Linked DNA regions of Caenorhabditis elegans. The protein of the gene in region 1 purifies or fractionates together with the protein of each later gene. This does not show direct contact. Each region holds a gene or a part of one and is shown on either strand. Other genes may lie near its edges. The genes, in order: unc-14 and klc-2.

The links.
Region 2: the proteins of unc-14 (region 1) and klc-2 purify together in Caenorhabditis elegans (affinity purification with western blotting, with the first as the bait; one study listed by BioGRID). This does not show direct contact.

What each region holds. Positions count from the first base shown.
Region 1 is NC_003279.8:7,122,241-7,129,942, reverse strand, and holds unc-14 (RUN domain-containing protein), read left to right. Parts: upstream 1-1,696; 5' UTR 1,697-1,805; coding exon 1,806-2,435; intron 2,436-3,357; coding exon 3,358-3,474; intron 3,475-4,017; coding exon 4,018-4,100; intron 4,101-4,794; coding exon 4,795-4,974; intron 4,975-5,160; coding exon 5,161-5,262; intron 5,263-5,394; coding exon 5,395-5,538; intron 5,539-5,690; coding exon 5,691-5,870; intron 5,871-5,916; coding exon 5,917-6,068; intron 6,069-6,163; coding exon 6,164-6,329; intron 6,330-6,639; coding exon 6,640-6,883; 3' UTR 6,884-7,329; downstream 7,330-7,702.
Region 2 is NC_003283.11:5,576,231-5,581,575, reverse strand, and holds klc-2 (Kinesin light chain), read left to right. Parts: upstream 1-2,071; coding exon 2,072-2,189; intron 2,190-2,241; coding exon 2,242-2,558; intron 2,559-2,609; coding exon 2,610-3,529; intron 3,530-3,579; coding exon 3,580-3,688; intron 3,689-4,314; coding exon 4,315-4,473; 3' UTR 4,474-4,839; downstream 4,840-5,345. UniProt on the Caenorhabditis elegans protein: Kinesin is a microtubule-associated force-producing protein that may play a role in organelle transport. The light chain may function in coupling of cargo to the heavy chain or in the modulation of its ATPase activity.

The DNA.
Region 1 (7,702 bases):
TTGTTGGATACTTCCTGGAAAAAAAATTAAATTTAAATACTGGGAAATCATCTGAATATTTTTACAAGTCGACAGTTGCTATGTACAATTTACAACTTTAAAATAACGTACTGGAAATCTACAAAAACTTCAAATCATTCTGTGAATGTAAATTTCTTTGCTCATATCCTTCTTCTCCGTCTCTCATCACTTAAATTTTGTTTGCATCGTTGCCCACTATTTTAATTAAGCTCATTTTCTCAATTTCCTCTACCATTTTCTTGTGTCCCAATCAATCATTTCTCACCCACGAAGTATGATGAATTGCCACGTCACACAAACACCGATAGATCTTTTTTCTTTCGCACTCTCTTTCTCATATCAGTTGTGTCAAGTAGACAGAGAGCAGCAGCATCTCGAGTGTCCCATTTTGACAAAAAAAAGATGGGAAGAGATGTTTGTAGTTTTGAGATGAATGATATACGTTTGGTTATTGTCCCAAAGGAATGGTATTATTGTGGAATGCTCTTTGACTCATTTGATTTTATAGAATAGTCTGACAATCTTCTGAAAATTCCTAAAGACCCCCCACAAGAGAAAAGGTATATTCCACATATAAGAACTACAGTATCAAATCATTTTCCAAGTTACTCTAGAGAACATTAGACTACATTATTTCAATAGTTATCAAATGACTTGAAAACGTTTTGAAATTGTTTTATTAACAGTCACTTCAGTTTCATCTTTGAAAAATGTCTAATTGTTTCAAACTATGGCACTTTGCCAAAACTCTGTTTGAAAATTTTGAAAAAATATGAAACATGTCAGAGTTGTTTTAATTTTGGCACTCTTGGAGTAAATTTTGGCTAAGTCATCTTGGCTTCTCAGCTATGGAAGTCAATTATGTTTTACAAACCCATTAACAATGAAATCACTGAAAAGTTTTATTTTATAGTTTTAAAAACAATGAAATTTAGATTTTTTGTCGTAAAGTGTTCATTTTCAAGAAAACCAACGTTACGGTCGTAAAATATTAAAAATCACAACATGAACGAACACGCCCACAACAGAGTTTAAAACATTTCCCGGAACCGTTTTTCAAGTTTTTTGGAAACTTTTTTTCCTGGAAAAACTCTTGTCACTTTCTGAACACAAACTTTTCTTATGCAAAAAAAATACAACTTTGGCACCAAGATGTTTTTGAAAACTTTTTAGAAAATGTTTCAAAAATCAGCCCTTGCAAAAATAATTCAATCTCAAATGATTTCATGGGCTTATATGTTTTTTTATTCTCCAAGTTTTGTGGATTCTAAGATTCTGTATGACAATAGTATCAAGTTGCCTCAATTTTCATTTCTCCGACTTGTTGTCCACCATCACAGTAATACGATTCTTTGTCTTGAAAAATGTGAGCCAATCATCTTTCATGCACAAGTACATTTTCTCGGCCATCTCGTCTAACACTTTCCCTCAAACTACTCTCGTTCGTCTGTCTTCTATTCTTTGCATACAACTCTCAAGAGTGTTTCTCTCATTTCAGCGCTACACAGAGACACAGACAACATCTCTCCGTTGCGAAACACAACGAGAAGAGTATATTGAAGAGTGAGACGGAGAGATACAATTTGGATTGCATAGCCAGCTGACGCTTCTCTCGTTTTCTCTCGTTCTCTCATTTTTCAAAAGGCCAGGGACGCAGATTCATTGATCGACAACGACGGCGACGCGGCGGCGCGAGACGCGTCCCTTTATTTCTTCTTTTTCTAGTCAGCTTCTGTTATTCTGAACGTCTACAAAGGGCTTCATCCCTCAATTCTTCCACCAAAATGGTGGAACTGTGCGAACTGCACATGATGCCTGAAGAGGATCAATGGCCCGATGACATTGATGCTCGAATCGCTGCTCTCAACTTTTGTGGAGAAGATTCGATGCTCTTTGAATCAGTTGATCCTTCTGTATCAACTGATTCTTTAGACTCTCAACAGTTTCGAGAGAGATGTCAAATGAAAAAAGAAGATTTTCAATTAGCATTCGCAGACTCTGGACATTGGCAATCAGGTATAAATGATAATCTGACAACTTGGGGTCGGATTCGGACATCTGAACCATTGGATGAACGTACTGCCAGTGCTCCAGATGTTTGGAATGTAAAAAGAAGTGATAGTGCTCGATCACCAAATCGTCCAAATTCACTGATTGCCAACTTTGTTTCCGGAGATGCTACTCGATTCGTCGATGTAAATGATAATGAAATTCGCGAGGCAAATGAAGAAATAATTCGTAAAGATCGTTGGAGAAGAGATTCAGCGAGACGATGCTCATCTGGAGGACAAAATCAGAAACGAACATTTGCGGATATTCTGGAAAAGAATGTAACAGCACCAACTTCAATGGCAATCACATCGTCTGATAATGAAAAGCCTCCGAAATTAGACTTCCTGGCAATGCATCATGAGGTCAGTTTTTTTTTCGTAAGTGATAAGAGACGGGTGATAAATTTTGTCTGTATTGTGTTCTGCGGCAAAGATCGAGGTGGTCGGAGCGTTCTTTTTTCTTTCGATGCAACGTTTTAAGTTTTTCCAAAAAATAAATCATCTTCACTTTTTTCCGCAGTAAAGAAAATAAACAATTTTTTCAAAAAAATAATTTAAAGAATTTATTTTGATACATTTGAATTTCATCAACATTCACCGTATTTCTCCTACTAATCTTGCTCTTTTTCGGTTTACTTTAACAGTTTATATCTGGCCGTCGGGATATAAACTGTTAAAGTGGTTCAATACTGACAAGACTGATAAATAAAAATACTGTCTGACAGAATATACAAAACCTATGTATCTTGGGAATAGCTGTCAACTGACAAATAAAAACATTGTGTTAATGACTACAAGTATTTATTGCTAGTTTATTTTCTAGTCAACACATTTTTTTCAAAAACTAAATTCTAAAGTCTAAATTTGCAAATACTTAGATAGTATCATCGGTTGGTCATCACATTCCTTCCCATTTAAAAACAATTTTGTAGGTCGATGTTATTTTTGAGATAATGATCCTAACAGAATATAATTTTTAAAAGAAAAAACAGAAAGTATCCCGTCGGGATGCAAATGAAGAAGCAAGAAATAAACATCAATCTTACATAATCCAATCCGCGACAACCAAAATTGTTATCGGTTTCTTTTTTGTGTCAACGTCGCCGCTGTAGTCGTCGCGCCGCACTTATCATACCCATTCATTTGATCGATTGACTGCGTTCGTTTCTATTTTTTAATGTTTCATATACGGACGCATGTCTAGATAATGTCTTTTAGTAGTAGTGTAACCATGAGAAATTAGAACATGCATTCAAACTTTATAATTAAATAAATTAATTTTTAGATGCCATCTCTCTGCGAGTCATTCACCGCTTCGTTCCGTGATGCTATTATTAAAATGCAGAAATGTGAGCCACTACCGTCGATTACTTCAACCAATGATTTTCCGCTCTTCTTTCAAGTAAGTTCTTGTTTTTAGCATTGAAAAATAAACTTAACCATGAGATAAATTGAACAAGTTTTCCCTATTGTGCAGAAGTCTGATTATCAGCTAAAATAGGATACCTATTCCAATAAGCTGCTTTAATTGCTGTTTTAATGCTGTTTTAATAAGCAGGTAAGATCATAAAAACTCAAAGTGCATGCAATTTTAAACAAGAAAATCTTCAGTGGTGATTTAGTAAACATATTTGCATAATAGTCAACCAAGTATCCTTTTTCAACTTTCCAAATTTTTAGTAAAAATTTTAAAAAGTTGTCAAAAATTCCAAAATTGACTTTAGATATGTAAAAGCCTGATTAATTTTTTCGAAAAGTTTTACCACGATATAATACTTTTAAATGGTTTTCCATTCGCAGCTTTAACTAAATATAAGTATAAATTTAATTGTTCCTACAGTAGTTATCCCCATGAACTCATTGTGGCACGTAATCTGATATTTCTCAGTCTCTAATACTCTCACATTATTTGTTTCCATTAATTATTCATCCTTTTCTTTTTCAGGAAGACTCTCCCGACTCAGGACTCGGTTGTAGTGGTCCGAGCCACATTGAAGATTGGCAATCTCTATCTGTTCTTCTGCCCAAGTGAGTCACGTTTTTCATTCGATTTTCCCTTTTTTCTTTCGCTCGCTCATTTTTCATTTTTCGCCGGCTTAATCTCAAGATTATTTCGCGCCCCGGCACTCTTTTATTGAAGGGAAACATTGGAGAAAAATAAGAGACGCAGAGATTTTTCACATTTTCTTTCTTCCCGTTAACCCAGTCGGAGAAAAGATGGCGCAGGGAAGATTGGGAAAAGAAAGGACTTTTTCTGTGGGGTGAACGGAAATTGAGGGAAGAAAACTGAAATGGGCACGTGATTGACTTTTTTGAAAATTGGTCAATCTATCGGAAAAGGTTAAAGGTGGAGATTGTGAGTGTGGATTTAGTTTTAAAATACTCAAACTAGTCTATAACCCTGAAACAACTCAAAAGAAAAACGAAAGAAACTAGTGAGAATGGAAAATAATGTTTTTTTTAATTGAAAAAATAGATTTTTCTGTTTTGGCTAATTTTTCTTTGTTTAAATTACCTCCGAAATGAGAATTTCAAGCCGATCAACGATTCGCTTTTTCAATCAATCATATGGATTGCTGAAACCTTTAAGACGTTGATTGTTTTGAAACTACTTGAGGTTTTTAGCTTTGTTTTAGGTTTTTTGGCATTTTAAACAAAACACTATTAACGCTTTGAGAATCACATCAAAACTAAAAATATTTTCTTAATTGTAATGTTTCAGACACGTCGCAGAAGCATGTTCATTCTTCAAGAGCAACACCCAATTATTAACATCAAGTACATCAAAAACAGCACCCCAAACATCAACAAACATCGTATCAAATTGCATTGATCGCCGTATCTCTGGTATTTCAGCATCAGCAAATGAAGCATGTCGAACGTGTTATCGAGTACGAAGGAGGTAAGAATCTTTTGATTTTTATGAGCTATTTGAGAAGCTAACGGCTAATTGCTTTAGGGTGACGAAACGTTTGATGACCAATCGTTAAAATAGTATACAAGACACATGTTGTGTAATAAATGTGTATCTCACTATTTGTTAGAATATGGTTTTCTGTCTTAAAATATTCATAACAATTTTTTTCAGGATACACCCACCAGTTTGGGCTCAAACTGCCCAATCAAAGACGGTTCTTTGTGACTGCGCATCAACACCCACGGATACGAATTTCTCATTTGCACCAACAACGTAAGCTTCTTCTTCACTGACTCTATTATGCTCTTTAATCTTCCATTTGACCCTCATCATCAATCACTTACCCGCGCACATTCACTTCTTTTCATTCTCTTCCTTCTTTCGAAATCTCATTTCTCATTTCAGTTCAACGACTCGCCATCAACTGCGCGCAAAAGAGCTCTCAATTGTCGGATTGCCGATTTATGCAGCAAAGCGGACACTCGTTGAGAATGTTGTTGAAGGCGTTGCTGCAATTTCAAGAGGGGATGGAAGTGATTTGCTTGTCATGTAAGAAATATTTTTTAATATTAAATATGAGGGTCTGCAACTTTAAAGAAACCCTGAAAATGTAAAAAAAAATGGAAAAATAGTCCAGTTCAATAAAAAATACTCAAAATAGACTCTTATTAATACAAATTAAAATGTTTCAACATTTTCAGCGCCATGAGATGCTTAATTGAAGATGGTCTTCAAGAAAATGTATCGGCATGGACAATGATTCAGACGGTTACCTCAAAAGGCCCAGCTACAAAAGATGTTCATTCAATTGTAAAACAATTGGAAGAATGTTCAAAGACTGACAACGTCAAAGTTGAAATCTTCTTTGAGGAGCTTATCAGGTAATCGGAGAAAATAGAAATATAATCGTTCAAGTAAGAGTTACAGAGAAAACTCATTGGACTGCTGGCTGTGCTATATTGTGTTGAAAGAGAAGGTGCTGAAAACATTGTATTCTGAAAATGCATTCCTTCTTTCTGCGAGTTCTGAATACAGAACTCTTCTTTGGAGAATGGTCGACAGTTTGTCTCTTTTGCCAGGTAATTCTAGTTTTCATTAACAACAACTTAAATGAATGTATATCTAAAATGCCCCAATAGTTCCCTTTTTGAAATTTGCACATTGATATTTTTAGTGATCGAAGCTCGCAGTGATTCAGTTCACCAACAGTTCAAATCAATGCAACAATGGGGCGGAGCATCCAGAATAGCTTCTGACTCAAGAGTTCCAAAGAGTTCATCGTTCCCAGCAAGATTATCAACTGCTCCATCAAGAAGATCAAGGATACCATTGTCAACAAGGTAATTTGTTTGTTTTTTCATTGCAAAATTGGCAGACTTCGAAACGAGACATGTCTTATTTAAAAGTTTATATGCATTTAGACCAGGATATCAAAAAATTTTAAGCAAAGCTCAGCAACCACACTCTAAAAATTTCGCTCTGAAATTTCTTCAGTGAATTTTTTCGCTGTAATTGTGCCTCATTTTTAAGAGTGTTGGGTAGATATTCTGAATTATTTTTGGCAATTGATTTGATTCTAAAAAAATCAACAAATGCAATCAAAAGCTCTCTTGATCTTTGACAACTCTTAACCACTTTTCAATTTTTCAGTCGCATCAGTATCAGCTCAACAACTTCAACACCTCGATCAGCTCGATCACCTTCAACGACATCTCGTATTCGAGTTGCATCTATAATGGGTGACTTCACACTTGCCAATTTCTCCCTCTCAGACGGAGAAAAAGTTAGTGTTCTATCAACTCGTGGAGGACTTGCTCGATGTGTCCGTTTAACGACTTCTCATTCAAAAATCAACAATGGAGTTATTCCGATTGAACATCTTCTTTTCCAGTGAACACTCTGTACTTTATTTTTTTCTTGAACTTTAATTTTTTTCCGATGCTTCATATAATTCTAGTCATGCCACCCAATTCAACCGAGTTTGATCCCCCATCCCATGCATTCATCGTTTTCCCTCAATGATACTCATTTCTTTTTCATGTTCAACTGAATTCATGAAAAATGTTTGAAAACTTTCAAATATTTTTTTGAATTTAAAAGTCATTAGATAGCCTCTCTTTTCCCTCCGGTTTCCTCCAATTTTGCTCCTTCTATCTTCGTATAGAAGAAAATTGCTTTATTTCCTTCCTTTTTCAGCTAAAATCGAGGCAACTATTGGATTCTTTGCAGCTTGCCAAAACATTATTCAATAACAAAAACGAAAATGTTTATTTGTATTTTGGAATAGAGCCAATCGGATTTGTATTGTTTTTGAAAATAAACAATAAATAAAATGCATTTAATTATTAATTTTAAATTTGGAAAAGTTATTAAATAATCTAAAATGTTTGAAAATGAACTTAAAAATGAAAAAACATACAAATAATTTTGTAATTTGGTTTTTTTTTTACACTTTTTGGATTTCAGTGGCGTTGCAATATAGCCTTCAATAATTTTCAAAGATCACCGGGCGTAACATTTAATGATTAATAGTAATTCAACGAATCACAAATTACAACAATTCACAAATATTTACCAAAAACATTTTGATCTTAAGATGTTTTTTTTTTATCTGAACTAGTTTCCATTAGTGTCTCATGTCGAATGATGTGATAAGAACGAATTATTTCGAGATAACAATAACATTTGAAAATCCTATAAAAGGGGGTGAGAA
Region 2 (5,345 bases), on another chromosome or scaffold:
CTAGAGATAAATAACCGTTTTTAACTATAACAAACAGGCCTAAACTTTGATTTTTTGGTAGAAATATATATGCTTTATACATGCACCTCGTAATAAAATGCTATTTCCTGAACTTTTCAAACTCTTTAACTCCTTCTTCTGTTCATCATAAATCTAAACTGAAAAGTTTAAGACACTAATCCTGGAGCCGAATACGAAAAAGTGCTCGTGGAAGCTTTCAAGCTGGATACCATCATGAATTTGGCCGGTTCTACTATTCAGGCATATCGCCAGTAAGTTATATTTTTAATTTGAAATGAGAATTGGAATTTAGAGTGTTGAATCATTTTCTTATCACATGCATTACTCATCAAAAAATGTTTGAAAGTTATTTCCGCTAGGGCTGTAACAAAAAATGTACAGTACATTCTAAGCGGATACCCTAATTTTCAAAAAATTTCAATTTGCATCTACCGTAAAATAAAAATAAAAATCGAAATCTACTTTCCTAGTCCTCTAATTCAAAATTGCAAGATCTTATGACAAGTTTTCAGAAATAGTGAATATATGAATCAAAACTCTTTGCCCAAATTCTAATAATTCATGAGAAGTTTATGTTAATATGTTTTATTTTTTGGTTTTTATATTTTCTGAAATCCCACCTTTCTCTTGAGAAACAAAGCAATTTCGATACTTTTTTGCATATGAAGCTAAACAAATCCTAGATGTATTCTTCATAAAAACTCAGGTGTCCAAACATTGCAATTAACTATGAAAGGATGCATCTTTCCAATTGTTTCGCAATTCTTTCTCGCCTCCGTCTCTTGCTCTCTCATTTCCTCCATGTTGGACGGACGATCAATAGTTTCTATGTTGTCTCTAATATTTCTATGATCTCTCATCAGTGGCTGCGCACGTCTCGCTGTCTATTCGCCGACACGACGAGAGCGGGCTTTCGGTTAATACAACCAAACACTCTTTCCGAACAACGTTATGTTTTACTTGTCCACACTTTATTAGCATCTTTATGTTCAGAACCATTTCTTATGAGCTTTTGCAGGAGAGAAATTATTAGAAAGTTAAAATTTGGTTTCATTTCTGCTTATATTGCGAAATTTGTACCTATAGTGTTGCACATATTTAGCTTATCTTTGACATATTCCAAAAAGTTTCTCAGTTTTCTAAAAGTTTTTCCAAAATTGTTCTAGTGCAACTCAACCTAGCAAAATCAAAGAAATATATTAGTTCTACCACGAAATGCTATTGATTTTCAAAAATTATAGCGCATAGTGCAGCCTTGATTTTTTCAAATTAAAAATTTCAAAAACCGAGTAAATAAAAATTACAAATTTTTAAAAGAAAATATCAATCCACGATGATTTTTATTTTCTCTAAAACGTGTTGAACATTTGGAACATTTTTGCTTTATTTCAACTTATTTCAAAGCAACGTTTCGGTGTAAAATAAGTTTATCGTTATTTTGTGAAAATGTGGAATGTCATTTTAAAGGCACATGCGTATTTTCTCAGGGGGTCTCGCCACGATCTCCTGTATTTCAATAGCAAATGGCAGGGCTGTTATTTAAGACGCCCTCCTCAATCTTTGAGAGCTCATTTTGGCGTTTTTTTTAACTTCAGCCATAAAATTGAAACTGGATAATATTTACCTAAATAATAGATTTTCCAAATTCTTGCACCAAATAGATCTATGGTATAAAACTGTCAGGCTGATTTTCAAATTTTTGCATTTTTTAGAATTCCAAAGTGAGCAGTATTCATGGAAAAATATTTTTTGAATCTAGTTCTACGTTTTTGAGAGAATGCAAGATTTTAATTAATTTTTGTTGTGCCATACTTTGGCATTATTTACATTTAAAAGAAAAAAAGGGTTAATTTTTTCTGATAAATCTGAAATTAAAAAAAAAGACTATCGCAAAACTTATTGAACGACCTAATAGCTATGATCTACATAGATTCAACTGTTTTTACTCACTGAAAAAATTTTCTCGTTAGCTACCAACACTTCTCGAACTTCTTCCAATTACATTTAATAGATTTAAAATTTCAGGCGAAAAATCGAGTCGCTGGCGAAAATGTCAAACATGTCGCAGGACGACGTGACGACGGGCCTACGTACCGTTCAGCAGGGACTTGAAGCTCTTCGTGAGGAACACTCGACAATTTCGAATACTTTGGAGACTAGTGTCAAAGGTATGGCTTTTTTTACGACGAGTTGAACATTTACTAAAATTCAATCATTTAGGTGTGAAAGAAGATGAAGCTCCATTGCCGAAGCAGAAGCTTTCACAAATTAACGATAATTTGGATAAGTTGGTGTGCGGAGTTGATGAGACATCGTTGATGCTGATGGTATTCCAACTCACTCAAGGAATGGATGCTCAACATCAGAAATACCAAGCTCAACGGAGACGCTTGTGCCAGGAGAATGCGTGGCTTCGTGATGAGTTGAGTTCAACTCAAATCAAACTTCAACAGTCGGAGCAAATGGTTGCTCAATTGGAAGAGGAGAACAAGCATCTTAAGTATATGGCATCAATCAAACAATTTGATGATGGAACTGTAAGTTGAATTTTTCGAGGAGCATTCTTAACTTATTTTGTTTGTTTTCAGCAAAGTGATACTAAGACATCTGTCGATGTTGGACCACAACCAGTCACAAACGAAACTCTTCAAGAACTTGGTTTTGGACCAGAAGACGAAGAAGATATGAATGCTAGTCAATTCAACCAACCAACACCAGCCAACCAAATGGCGGCTTCTGCTAATGTTGGATACGAAATTCCAGCTCGTCTTCGCACACTTCACAACTTGGTCATTCAATACGCCTCCCAAGGTCGTTATGAAGTTGCAGTTCCATTGTGCAAGCAAGCTTTGGAAGATTTGGAGAAAACGAGTGGTCACGATCATCCAGATGTTGCCACAATGCTCAATATTTTGGCACTTGTCTACAGAGATCAGAACAAGTACAAAGAGGCTGCAAATCTTCTGAATGAGGCTCTCAGTATTCGTGAGAAATGTCTTGGAGAAAGTCATCCAGCTGTTGCCGCCACTCTCAACAATCTCGCAGTTTTGTTCGGAAAACGTGGAAAGTTCAAGGATGCTGAACCGCTTTGCAAGCGTGCTCTTGAAATTCGCGAGAAAGTTCTTGGAGATGATCATCCAGATGTGGCCAAGCAACTCAATAATCTTGCTCTTCTTTGCCAAAATCAAGGAAAGTATGAAGAAGTCGAGAAGTATTACAAGAGAGCTCTCGAAATCTACGAGAGCAAACTTGGACCTGATGACCCGAATGTGGCAAAGACCAAGAACAATTTGTCATCTGCTTACTTGAAACAAGGAAAATATAAGGAGGCTGAGGAGTTGTACAAGCAAATTCTCACCAGAGCTCATGAAAGAGAGTTCGGACAGATCAGTGGAGAGAATAAACCAATTTGGCAAATCGCTGAAGAACGAGAGGAGAACAAGCACAAGGGAGAAGGTGCAACTGCCAACGAACAAGCTGGATGGGCAAAAGCCGCCAAAGTTGATAGGTATTATGATTTTTATTAGAAAAAAATAAATTAAACAAAACTGATTCCAGTCCAACCGTCACAACAACTCTCAAGAACCTTGGAGCCCTTTACCGGCGACAAGGAAAATATGAAGCCGCCGAAACATTGGAAGATGTCGCCTTGAGAGCAAAGAAACAGGTATGTAATGATGTTTTTTCTGCATTCATGGCTTCTCTATCTAGCACGCTTTACTGCATTTAAAATACAAAAGTTCAGAAAAAAAATTTAGAAGTTAGATATTAATGTTGTAAAATGTTGTATGCGTCCCCGATACCCCAGTGACAAGAATTTGCTTCATATTTACATGTATTTTTGGAACTTAAAACATTGACAACAGTTGTTTCAAACCAGGGGAGTGCGTCAAATTTGCCGAATTTGCCGGTTGCCGAACTTGCCGGACACGGTAAATTTCGAAAATTGCCGCACACATCAAAAATTCGACAATAAAATTTTGACCAAAACTATGTTTCAAACTAACCCGAAAATTAGATGCTGCCTGAACAATGTCTTGCCAACTTTTGAACCAAAATTGGCAAATACTGAAATATTGCACAAATCTGAAGCTCATTCAAACGAATTGTTTTTTAAAATTAAAGTTTAAATTTAATACGAAGCATATTCTTGTCCTCCCCAAGCCCCCATCAATAACAATTCCAGTAACAAAAAAAAACACATAAAACGCTTATTTTTGTATTTTAGTGATAGTGATGTGCTTTAGAATTTGGTCACTCGTTTCCTCTTTTCAGTATTGTTTCCTCTTTCAGCATGAGCCATTACGAAGTGGAGCGATGGGCGGAATCGATGAAATGAGCCAGTCGATGATGGCTTCTACAATCGGTGGATCCAGAAACTCGATGACAACGAGCACATCTCAAACTGGATTGAAGAATAAACTAATGAATGCACTCGGATTCAACTCTTAAGAGCATCTCTTTGCAGCACTGACTGAAAACCGCTTATCGTTCTTGTATTAATAAGTGCTCGTTGATTCAAGTTCCAAATTCTGAAATTTTGTCTCAGATCTACGAAAACTTGCTTTTTTCTTCTTTCGTTGTGTTGTGCATGATTCTTTTTTTTTTGATTGATTTTTCTTTCTGCCCCATCCCCTCATTCACAAAATCTTGTTCATAAATAATAGGGTTGAATAATTGAATGTTTCCTTGTCCGCCCCCACCAACTTTTTGGTAAAGCTTTATATTGTCTGCTTCGAATTTTCTTTTCAAGCAAAAAAAAAAACATAATTATAACAAGCTGAAAAATCGTGTTGTTGTAAATAAAGGGTTTATTTTTGAATTCTGCTTGTTACAAGAAAAAGAAAACTTCAATTTCAGATGTCCGAATCTCGAAGAATGGAACGATCCGTTATGTATTGATTGTTGCTCGACATTGTACTCCGTCATCAAGCTTTACACTTCTTCGCAAAATTCCAAAAGTTTACAAGTTCTCATTTATTTATATGTATCAAGTTCTAATTAAACACTGCTTTTCTATTTTTGTTAGCTATTCGCATAATAACATTTTTTTTTAATTATAAAAATGTGAACCCGATTAAATTGGAAAAACGTTTCGAGAAAAATTATAATTGCAAAGATTCATGATATTTATTCAATAAGACTTGAAAAACATTTACCCTGATATTCAAAAAATTAACAAAAAACAACGGTCAAGTTGGTGATTATGGGAAGGGGTTTGTATTCTATGAAGAACACGGAGAGATTAACATGAGCGGTACCAAACCCTGGTACCAGGGCTTCCTGCTGGCAGGAAATTGTCAAATTGATAACCCATAATCTCC